Linked DNA regions of Canis lupus familiaris. The protein of the gene in region 2 interacts with the protein of the main gene of each other region in a biochemical or structural test. Links are inferred from orthologs where the notes say so. Each region holds a gene or a part of one and is shown on either strand. Other genes may lie near its edges.

Region 1 (6,399 bases), on a different chromosome or scaffold from region 2:
TGCAAAGGCCCCAAGGTGAGAAATAGGTGCTGAAACGAAGATGCAGAGGCTGCCAGGGTCATCTCCCAAGCTTTCCAGAACTCTTCTCTTGATCCTACCCACATTTCTCCAGTGAGCAGGTAATCCTGTTTCCTCTTCTTTACAGAGAGCCATCTGTGTAATCATGGGCCTTGGGAAGAAAATGACATTCATTCTTTCAGTCAGTAAGATTAAATGCATAGCCTGATTGTGTGTGTGGTGGGGAGCGGGGGAGCTCCACTGCTCCAGCAGGTAGTGTAGATGCTCCCTGCAGCAGTGCATCAAGGAGGTGACTGAGGGTGGAGGCTGGGGGGCAGGTAGGGAGGAGTGGGGTGGAGGCTGACTCCTTCGGTGCCAGAGGGGTAAGTGGGAAGAAGTGAGATGAGCTTCAAACCCACCTGGCAGCAGAGCCTGCCTTTCTGTCCCAGTTCCAGGTCAAGCGTCTCCAGGCTGTGTGACTTTGGGCAAACCACTCTCTTGCTTTGGGTTTAGGTTTCTCCTTTGTAAAATGGGGACAATAGTGACACTGGCCTGGTCGGGCTCATACCATGTAGCTCAACCAATACAATCCTCACGTACTGCCCCTTACTCTGAGCTCACTCGTGCCAGGCACCAGGATCAGCTCCTGACCTGCATTAGCACGCTTCTTCCTCACAAGGCCAGGAGTAGTGTGATCCCATTTACAGTTGAGACAATCAAGGCACAGGTGAGCAAGCAGGGTCCTGAGCACACAGGAAATTCCGTGAATGCTGGTGGCTGATAACCAGCTGCCTTTCCTTTTCCTGCCAAAGCCCCACACACCTGGTTTAAAGTTCTCAGACGTCCGGATGAGCTCCTGGTTCCTGCTGCCCCCAAGCAGGCTGCCCATTCACAACTCCATAGGATTTGAGAGAACAAAGAGAGAGAGACAATGGCAAACAGCTGGTCGGGCCCTCATTCTGGGAAAAGCCCCAGAAGAAGGCAGAAGGCAGCACACCCAGAAGAGGTGCCACCACTCCTGGGAACCCCCTGCCCAGCGGCCACATCCCCCCAAAACATGTCCTGCCCTCATAGGGTTCATATTCCAGTGGGTGTGGGGAGGGGAGGATACGTAGTAACTATAACGCTGATCACAGCAATAGAAGTATTTACTTGGTGCTCACCCCCTGCCGTCCCTGTTCTAACTCACTTAATTTTCACACTTTTTAAAGATTTTATTTATTTATTCATGAGAGACACAGAGAAGCAGAGACACAGGCAGAGGGAGAAGCAGGCTCCCTGTGAAGAGCCTAATCAGCACTTGATCCCAGGACCCCGGGATCCTGACCTGAACCGAAAGCAGTCGTTCAACCACTGAGTCACCCAGTTGCCCCTAATTTTCACAGTCTTTGAAGTGGGTGGTATTATTTTCTTCAGTTCACTGAAAGAAAACAGTGGCACAGAGAAGTTAAGTGACTTGCCTAAAGTCACACAGCTGGGATAGCCAGGATTTAAACCAGTTAACAGGTAAAGTAAATAAAAAATTCGTCGGTCTCCAGGCTGAGGACCCACATTACTTTCACCGTGTAAGAGATGGGGTTTACCCAGCTTACCAGTCAGGGTATGGAGACACAGAGAAATTCAGCTGCCCACCCGAGGGTCAGCAGCTGGGGAGCAGGATTTAGAGGCAGCCACCTCCGACTCCAGGCTGGCAGAGGCACTTCTTTACCCCAAGCTATGCTCTTTGCAATCCGCTTCCCTTCTCGGGGCCAAAGGCAGTCCTAGAACAATCTGCCCCAGGACAGGACAGCCTCTCATTACTGTCACAACAACTGAGCCAGGGCCACCCCAGGGCATAACATCCCCCCCGTGGTCCCAAGGGAGAAGGGAGGCTGGGAGCCAGCTCCCGGCTAGAGCGCCCACTTCACTGGCCTCAAAAGGACATTCTCAAAAGATTGGACTCGCTGCCTCCCCTCCAGCCTCACCCCTCTGCCCCCCCTTTGCTCTCTCTGGGGGTCACTTCGCTTGTGTTCCAAGCACTTAACATGGAATCAGAATGGGGAAGGTAGGGGGGAGAGGGAAGGGGAAGGGGAGCTGAAACTTGAGATCCCAGCCTTTGGTGGGGGAAGGCTGGAGAGAGCCAGAGAGAGACAGAGACAGGAAGAGAGGGTTCAGTTGCCTTTGGTTTTCTGAAGCAGGCAGCTTTGGGGGTTTGGCGTGTGCGTGTGTGCATGTGTGCGTGTGTGCGTGTGTGCGTGTGTGTGTGTGTGTGTGTGTGTGTGTGTTGTTTTCTTTCTCAGGGGGAAGCCAGGCCTCCACTGGATAATAAAAGAACTCAGAGGCGAGGCCAAGCTGGGCGAGCAGGGCCAGTGCGGGGACAGGGCAGCTGTGGGCAGGAGTCAGGAGGAAGGAAGGGAGAGGGGGAAGGTTCGAGGTGAGGGGGTGTCTGCAGGCGGGAGCGAGGCGGTGGGAGGAAGCCGAGCAGCTGTGGTATTTGGAGCGAATATAAATAGCTGCCTGGACAGAGCCCGGCCAAGGGGTTCGGCTGCGGCCGGCAGGCAGGCCTGTGCGGCTGGCCTCGGGGGCGCGGCGGTGGGCAGGCGGGCGGGGTGCCGGGGGGCTCGGGGCCCACACCCGCATCTCCGGATGCTGTCCCGGCCGGCCATGCTGCTGGGTAGCCTCCTCCTCACCGCGGCCGCCCTGACCGTGGCCCAGCGCAGGGGGCAGGAGGCGGGCGGGCGCCGCCGGGCACACCGCGTCCAGCACGGCCAGTGCAGCTACACCTTCGTGCTGCCCGAGCCCGAGCCCTGCCCACCGGAGCCCGAGGCCTTCGGCGGCTCCAACAGCCTCCAGAGGGACTCGCCCGCAGCCCCCCTGAACCTGGGGGACTGGCCCACCCAGCGAGTGCAGCAGCTGGAGAAGGTGCTGGAGAACAACACACAGTGGCTGCAGAAGGTAAGGGCTGGGCCTGCAGGGAGGTGGTGGCGGGAGGCATGGGGGCTGGTCTCCGGCTGTCTCCATGGAGAGGTGGGGCGTCCTCCCCAGAGGCCTGCCCAGGGCACAAAGGCCAGGCTAATCAAGGCAATGTCTCTGAATTGTACAGATGGGGGTAATGAGAAACAGAGAAGGACAGAGATGGCCCTGACGCCGCACAGCAAGACTGGGCAGGCTCAGAGCTGGAAACCTGGCTCCCTCACAGCCATTCATTCACTCATCTGAGCGAAATCCAAATCAGTGAGCTCTGAGCACAGGCCTGACCCATCCTAGGGGCCAGGGATGTAACAGTAAACAGAACAAACAATACTGGACTGGTAGGGGAAAGAGGCCATGAAGAGATGAGTGATAAATACCTGCCACGTCAGAAGGTGACGTAAAATGGAGGGAAGAGGGCAAACGATGACAGGGTGGCTCCTTGAGGTCAGATAATTCCAGAGGACTTCTTGGAGGAGATGATGTCTGAACCCAGAGAACAAGTAAGATAACGGAGCAGCCCATGCTGGTACCTGCGGGATGGGCATTCACTACAAAGGGCCCAGCAAGTACAAAGGCCGTGAGGTGGGAAGGCAGTCAGGGTGCCAGGGGAACCTCGAGGACCAGCGCTGCTGGAGCAGAGAAAGAGGGGAGAGGGGTGCATGAGCAGGGGAGGGGAGAGGAGGCAGGTCGTGTCAGGCCTTGGGGACTGCTGGGAGGAAGAACTCTGGCTCTTGCTCTGAGCATCACAGGAGCCAGTGCAGCTCTTGGAGCGGGGGAGACACAGCTGACTTGGTCTGAACAGGATACACTGTAGGGGGCAGGGTGCATGCTGGGAGCCCGAGGAAGAGGCTGCTCAGCTGCCAGGCAAGAGGTGATGGAGGCTTGGGGCAGGACCCGGCTCAGGGAATTCTGCTTTATTCTGAGAGGGGGCTAATCGACCCTGCTGATGCATTGGGTACAGGGTGGCAGAGAGTGAGGAGTTGAGGACACTCCACCCTGTTCTGGACCAAGGCCAGGCCCACTCTAGGGTCTTCTGTCTTCATCCTTTTGGCAAACACTCTGAGTACATGGTGTGCCGGGCCCTTGACAAGGCACTGGGTACAGAGATGAATGAAGCTGGTGTGGCCTGGCACAGGCATGGGGGTGGGAAAGGTGTCCTGTGTGTTCCAAGATGGGGTTGGCAGGAGCCCCTAAGTAGGAGCAACCGAGGAAGAGAATGAGACCCAGGCCCCTGGTGCAAAAGACAGTCTGAGCAGTGAGCGGCGTGGCGTGGAGGGAAGCGCACTGATTCCTAAGGCCCTCAGATGTATTAATCGGCGCACAGCAATGGACAAGGTGTCTCTCCAAGGAGCACTGCCTTCTTACTCCTTGGTTTCCAAACTGTTCAGATCATGTGCCCAATCAGCAAACAATGTCTACGTCCCTGATACATGCATATTTATTTAATATATGTGCACATGTCCCCACATCAATATAAGTACAGGGAATAAAACAAAATGAAAGGGAACCTTCCATTTTCAAAAAGATGACATATGAAATCATGTAAATTGAAGTTTTAACAGTTTCCTCTGTTGTCCAAAGGATTACCTTGAGCACACCCTGGGTTTATCTGTCCCCAAGGTGGAGAAACTGCCCTATGCATAACTAACCAACCTGCTTTGCACACTTGTATATACACTCTTGTGCATGTGCACTTAACCTCCAGTCTTATTCCTGCCCTGACCTCAGCCCCCACTCACCATCTTCTCATAGTCCCTTTCCCACCTGCCCTCCCTGCCACCCGCCCTGCAATGCTGCCAACCTAACATCATCCTGGAGTCCCCCTCCAGGAAGGCCATGGCCTCACACACTGGAGCCAGCCCACTGGGGGCTCCGTGCTGCCCTGAAGTCTGTGTGTTTCCAGTTCCATGAGGGTCATCCCAAACCTCACCTCCCCAAGCCTCCATCTTTACTGTTCTCCATCCTCTCACCAGACCAACGACCTCCTGCTTCAATGACAAATGAGGGCACAGGGAGAGCTACTCTTCATCCACCTGTCCCACGTCTGCAATTTCACCCGTGCATCTACCAGTTCCCAAGACTTTTCTCTCGTTCAGAAAGAAGGGGTTCCTCCATGGCCCAAGGCTACACTTCCTTCCTAGGATGTAGATCCCATCCCCCTGCAGCCCCTGCACCTCCCCAAGCCAACTGTCCCCTCCTGTGCTCCCACTCTGCTGATTTCTTCCTTCAGTGTTTAATCCCATCTAAGCATCTCCCATGGGGGAAAAAAAAGGAAGAGGAAGGAGGAGCAGAGGAAACAAGCCTCTTCTCCAAGCCACACCCTTCTCTGCCTCTGCTTCCTCACATCCCATTTACTCCTTCCTCCAAAAGTCACCTCTCACATCCCACCTCCCACATCCAATGGCCGTGGCTTAGTCTTCATCAACTTGATCTCCTGACAAATTTCATGTTGCTGACCAATACCATCCTTCCAAAAACTGTCTCCATCCGCAAGTCCTCATCCACAAAACATGCCCACTCTGCCCTGCGTCCCTACTGCTTTCCCTACCTCCACAGCCCCACCCCGCACCAGCACCTCTGTCTCCCATCTAGACAGTCATTATGGCTGCTCGCTGGACTCCCTGTTTCCACCCTTCCCACCCCACTCCCTACCTCGTCCATTACTTCAGCAGACAGAGGGAACCTAAGTTAGATCCTGTCCCTCCTCTACTTAAAACCCTCCTGGGGCTCCCATCTCTTTAGAATAAAAGCAAAAATCCTTAGTCCCTAGAACACCCCCTCTCCAAGGTGCCCACAGGGTTCACCCAACCCCCCTCAGGTCTCTGCTTAAATGTCCCCTCCTTAGAGAGGCTCCCCCTGTCCATTCCATTTAAAACAACCACCCTCCCTCTGTCCCTCTGTATCCCCTCAACCTGGCTTTGGTTTTCTCTCTTAGCATGTATCACTACCCATTCTTAAAGCACTTCTATTGGCCTGTGCATCCGAGAAAGCAGGGACAAAGCAAGTGCTTTGTTCACTACTGAGTTCCCAGAGCCTAGAACAGTGCCTGGCACAGGGCAGGTCCTCCACACACGTCTGTGGAGTGAGTGAACTAATTAATACACGAAGGTCCCTGAGTCCCTCCGGTCACTCCAGTCCTCCCACACCCTGGAATGCCAGTGTTTCCCAGGGCTCTGTCCCTGCTCTTCCTTTCCTCTCACCCTTCATGGCACAGGCCCCACCCCCGGGCTGCCCCACCGCCCCTGCAGCACTGTCTCCCACCTGCCCCATGGTGGCGCCAAATCAGCATCTGGCAGTCTCCTGAGCCCCCAATCCATGACCCTGACCCTGCAGGTGTCTCTCCTCTCAGAGGCCATTGTGCCTCAACCCCAAAGCTGCTGGACACTCAGCTCTTCCCTCCCTCCCTGTCTCTGTTTAAGACTTTCTGAGGCCCTAGGGTGTCCTTCATGT
Region 2 (4,780 bases):
GTCCATATTTTTAGAAAAATATATTATTGCATATGAAACCACAAACAGGCATTCTGATTTCAGCACATTCTTACTCAAAACAGTATATACAGTCCTACTGGAGTCAAAGTGTACTATAGATTCACACACAGGAGTTTTTGTGGTCATGTCCCAGACATAGCAATATATATATACACATTTTTATATTCCACGTCACCTCTGTTGGCAGAGTCTTGCTTGCTTGCTTGGCATCAGGGGTCTGACATGCCAGGGAAGGGGCAACATTACATACAAATGGATGTGGCTTGTTCTAGGCTGCTTCTTCGGCAGAGCAGTCGATCCCAGCGTAGGCAAACTTCTCATAGAGCGTGGTATTCACATAGGTCTAGGATAGCAAGAGTGGTTCAGACATACAGGGTCCCTCAGTACTGCCTCTGCCATGGGCAGGTACAGTCACACCCCGGTTTCCTTAACTCCTTTCAGTTCAAACACTAGGTACCTGGGGGACATTCTTCTGTCCTCAGGCCCCATGTTGTATTTGACATCTTTCCTCCTGAAGTTCATCCCTCGACTTCTGAATGTAACACTCCACAGTTTCTAGGCCACTCTCTGTGGCCTTTCTGAGGTCCCTCTGGAGCTGCCCCAGTCTCTCAGGATCCTTTCTTCACCCCCCAAACCCCCACTGTGTGATATCACTCATGTCTCCAGTTTAATTACCGATTGGCTTGTGGTGACTTTCAGTCTATTTCCCTATCCTGGATTTGCCTTTCAACCCCAGATCTGTATCACCAACTACCTGCTAGACATGTTTATGGAATTCCTGGCCCTCCCCCTAGGAACCTGCAGACCAGGCTAGACTGTCTACCGGCTGTGTGTCCTTAGACACATCACTTTCACCTCTTTGTATATATTTCTTCTGCAAAATTCAAGAGTCAGGCTAGATTCCTGATGAGGTTCCTTCTATCTCAGAGGCTAATGTCTACCACGTGTGACTATCTTTCATAGAAATCTTATTACCTCTGAAATGGTAACATCCTCAAAGTTGGGGGCAGGGGGCACATCTTTTATGTCCCTCTAATATCTCAGGCTATGCCCAGAACAACTTGTTGAGTTGTATCAACTGTTTTTGTTGTTGTTGTTGTTGGGTTTTTGTTTTGTTTTGTTTTTAAGCCATATAGGGTGCGTGAGGCATTGTGTTTCAAGAGCCTGCCCAGAACTCCATGCTTACCTTGCGTTCCTCTAACATCCTGTTTAAGGACACCAGGATCTGGGCAAATGAGGGCCTCTCATAAGGCTTCTCCCGCCAGCATTGTCTCATGAGGTCATATCTTGGAAAAGAAAGAGTTAAGCATTGAACTCTGTGACTCTGCTTCAGTCCTTGGCATGGCCCAGTGTGGGGTATGGAAACAAGAGAAGATAATGTAGGCATTCCACACTTGGTCATCTGTCTATATTTAATCAATAGCACAAAACTACAGCCCCAAGTTTCTATCTGGCCTCCCACCTCACTCCACAAGTCCTCTTTTCTTCTTTCCGCAAAACTAGTGCCTATCCTGAGTACCATTCCTATGGGATCTTGGTCTCAGCTCTTCTGATTATCTGGAAAGAACAGAGTCTAGAGCAACACTTCCCTTGGAATACCACATCTCTCAAAGGTTAGTAATTCATTGAAAAAAAGACTCCATGTTCTAATAAATTTGCCAGGTGCCATCTATTGCATCTCTCTCTTAGGGATCAGCAGAGTAAAATCTTGAGAAGTCTTGCCATTACAAACAAAAAACCTATTTAACCTGACCTAACATGGAATTTGCCAACCATAAGTGGCCACAGCACTTCTTCCCCCTTGTATCATCTATTTGTATCTTGTGTGTCTCATGAACATAGTCTGGGAAGCCCTGGTCTAAGGCAGTACTCTCTCAAATGGGGTCAGAACCACTTACGTTGTCAAAATGCTGTTTCCTGCGACTCACCTTAGACCTACAGAAGTGATGTCAGAGTGGGGCTCAAAATTTCACATTGGGACCAAATGCCTCACGGGAACCTGATGTGCACAAAAGACTAGGAACCTAGCATGGTCTAGGTTTATGTCTCTGGTACCAGGGACATAATTAATACCACTCTTTCTTAGAATTGGCTCAGCTTGGACAATAACTTCTTGGCTGAACCTAGAGCCTTGCACTTTCACAAATGCCAGTCAGGCAGCAGCTACTTCAGGTAGCTCTGGGAATGGTGGTGAAAGCTAATCATTCTTCCCCAGGGAATAATTCTTACTCCTGGAAAATAATCCTTGCAGAATCAAGATTCTGTGACCAAAAAATCCATCTTCCTAATGTCACAGCTCTGAAATCTCTATCCCCAAAGTTAGCTTCAAGGTTTCATACATTTATTCATGAATTTCTTTCAGACCTCCTCTGCAGTTGTTGCCTTTCTTCATTTTCACCTTCTTGATACCATCACCTTAAATTCCTCCCAGATGCCTATGCATATAAAGCTCTTAGCTCCCTGCCCACTGCACAATGGTCTTAGTTTAAGGAACCACCCCCGCTTTTTTTTTTTGGCTCTTTGGGATCTCAATGTGTGTGTATGCATAGATATACACATATGTATGTGTGTATGAATCAGGTAACCCCTTCATTATACTCTGCCCAAGAAACATGCAGGGGAGGTTAAGATAAAATGGCCTTAGGGTGCAGCCTGACTTACACCTCGTCATCACAGTTTAGGGGCTTCTCCAGTCTGTAGCCCTGGGGCAGTTTCTCGTACAGTTCTGCGCATGTCATCCCGCAGTAGGGGGTGCCACCTGGAAGACAGAAAACCATGTTGCCCTAAGCCCCCTCTAGTGTGGAATGCAGTGTTTCCTGCCCCATGCCTCTCAAGCCGAGAGACTGGGAGAACGGCAGGGTGTGCCCAGGGAGGGTGCCCAGGCAGCATGGTCTCCCTCTGAGCAAACCCACTCCACATCACAGCGGCACATGTGCCACAAACCGCGCCACAGAGCAGCCGATCCCTCAGTGGAAAGATCCAGCATGGGGAACCGGACTTATTGTGCTGTTTCCCTTCCCTAAGTCAGCCTGCACAACCCAGCTATTATACCGATAAGATGTCACTTTTCCCTACTTGGGAGCCTGCAGTTAGGTTATCCAGTTCCTATTTGTTCTATAATAGTGACTGACCAATTTTAATTCTAAATCATACAGGTTTATTATAGAAAACTTGGAAAATACCAAAAAAGTATGAAGGAAGCAAGCCATAGTTTGTATTACTCTTCTTTGTAGTTCTCTCAGGTTTTTCATGTGTAGTAATTATAAAACTGCAATCATAGCATAAGGAACTTTCTGGGTTTTGGCCTGCATGTTTTCACATGCTGCTAAATGGCCGTCAGAGATGACTCTTCATGGCTGTGTGATGTACCATCTTCAAGTTGTAGAAGCAAACTTGTGATAGTTCTGTGACATCTCTGCTCAGAGACAACCTATAATGAAGCTCACAGCCACCAGGCTGTTAGTATTAAATATGACATTAGCTACAGGTTCTTTCAAAAAAGAACCCTGGGAATAAACAGACACCTACAGAGAAACCTTTAAAGTTCTATTCCCAGTCCCTTCTGGTGGTGCCACATAAAGACCTAAAAATGGCACCTGTGGAATTCCACAGTGAGGAAGCATAGGAGGGGCCCACCCCCATTGCCTGAAGTCTCACCTGGCGGATAAACACGGATACTCACCTAAGCTAACAATCTCCCACAGTAACACTCCATAGGACCATCTGCAGGGGAGATGATGGAGAAACCAATAATCAGCAAACAAGGTGACCAGTTTTCTGCCTCAAAATTCTGGATGACTGACGCTTTGCCAGAAAAGGAAATGTTAAACGTGTCCTCCCTAGGACAGGGCCCTGTATGTGGCGTATGTGTCATCTCCTCTTAGGCCAGTGGAAGGATTCTAACAGGGAAACAGTGTTAGAGCCCCCACTGACTTTAGGCGGAGAATGCAAAGTGGTACTGGGGACAGCAGGTGCATTTCTAAGCTGACAGACTGGAGTTAAATCCCAGCTCCGCCACCTGATACTCGTCACCTGGGACAAGTTACTGAACCTCTTGAGGCCTTTTGGTTATTCTGAAAGTGGGGACACCAGTTGCTGCCTCGGAGTTATGCAGACAGGATGTGAGAGAACATATAAAATGTACCTTGCATGCAGTGAGGACACAAGTACTTGCTGGCCCCCCGCCCTTCCCCGGGCAGAAGCTGAACTCCCTGGACAAGTCACCTGAACCCTTGGGGCCTCAGTTTTTCCTCCCGTCAATAAAGGTGTGGGCAAGATGGTGTACGTCTCACTTCCAAACCTTCCTTCCAGCCTCCTGAGACTTGTCCCTGCAGGCTGCAAGGGAGGATGATCCCTTGATCTGGCCCGCCTTCTGCCCCTGCCACCTCTGACCCCCAGCAGCCTGCCTCCATGCTCTGGGTCCTGCATGCTGAGGTCAGTCTGGGAGGTGAAGCCACAGGAAGCCCCATATGGCCCTTGTCCCTCTGGAGATGGAGAATTCACTACTTCTCCTTGACAGGCAGAAGGAAACCCACAGCCTGCCCCCAGTGATCTTACACAGTGAAAACTGTCTACTCTGAGGCTTCATTTTTGCAGACTAGGAATGTATTTCCTGGGCTTATTGACTAGCTTTTTTTCCACAGAGGGACAGGATATTCCTATTTCGCTTTAAGACCTCTGTCAAATGCTTATTCTTCTGGAAAAAAAAAAAAAAAACAAACCTCAGAATAAAAGGCTTACTCACACATCACTGTTGGTT

The links.
Region 1: the proteins of TEK (region 2) and ANGPT4 form a complex in vitro, tested with the Homo sapiens proteins (2 studies listed by BioGRID and IntAct). The link is inferred for Canis lupus familiaris from reciprocal best matches to the Homo sapiens genes TEK and ANGPT4.

The regions. Positions count from the first base shown.
Region 1 is NC_049245.1:20,524,116-20,530,514, forward strand, and holds the start of ANGPT4 (angiopoietin-4), read left to right. Parts: upstream 1-2,622; coding exon 2,623-2,931; intron 2,932-6,399. UniProt on the Homo sapiens protein: Binds to TEK/TIE2, modulating ANGPT1 signaling. Can induce tyrosine phosphorylation of TEK/TIE2. Promotes endothelial cell survival, migration and angiogenesis.
Region 2 is NC_049232.1:45,611,591-45,616,370, reverse strand, and holds part of TEK (angiopoietin-1 receptor), read right to left. Parts: coding exon 4,766-4,780; intron 3,745-4,765; coding exon 3,704-3,744; intron 2,780-3,703; coding exon 2,683-2,779; intron 1,308-2,682; coding exon 1,208-1,307; intron 365-1,207; coding exon 290-364; 3' UTR 1-289. UniProt on the Homo sapiens protein: Tyrosine-protein kinase that acts as a cell-surface receptor for ANGPT1, ANGPT2 and ANGPT4 and regulates angiogenesis, endothelial cell survival, proliferation, migration, adhesion and cell spreading, reorganization of the actin cytoskeleton, but also maintenance of vascular quiescence.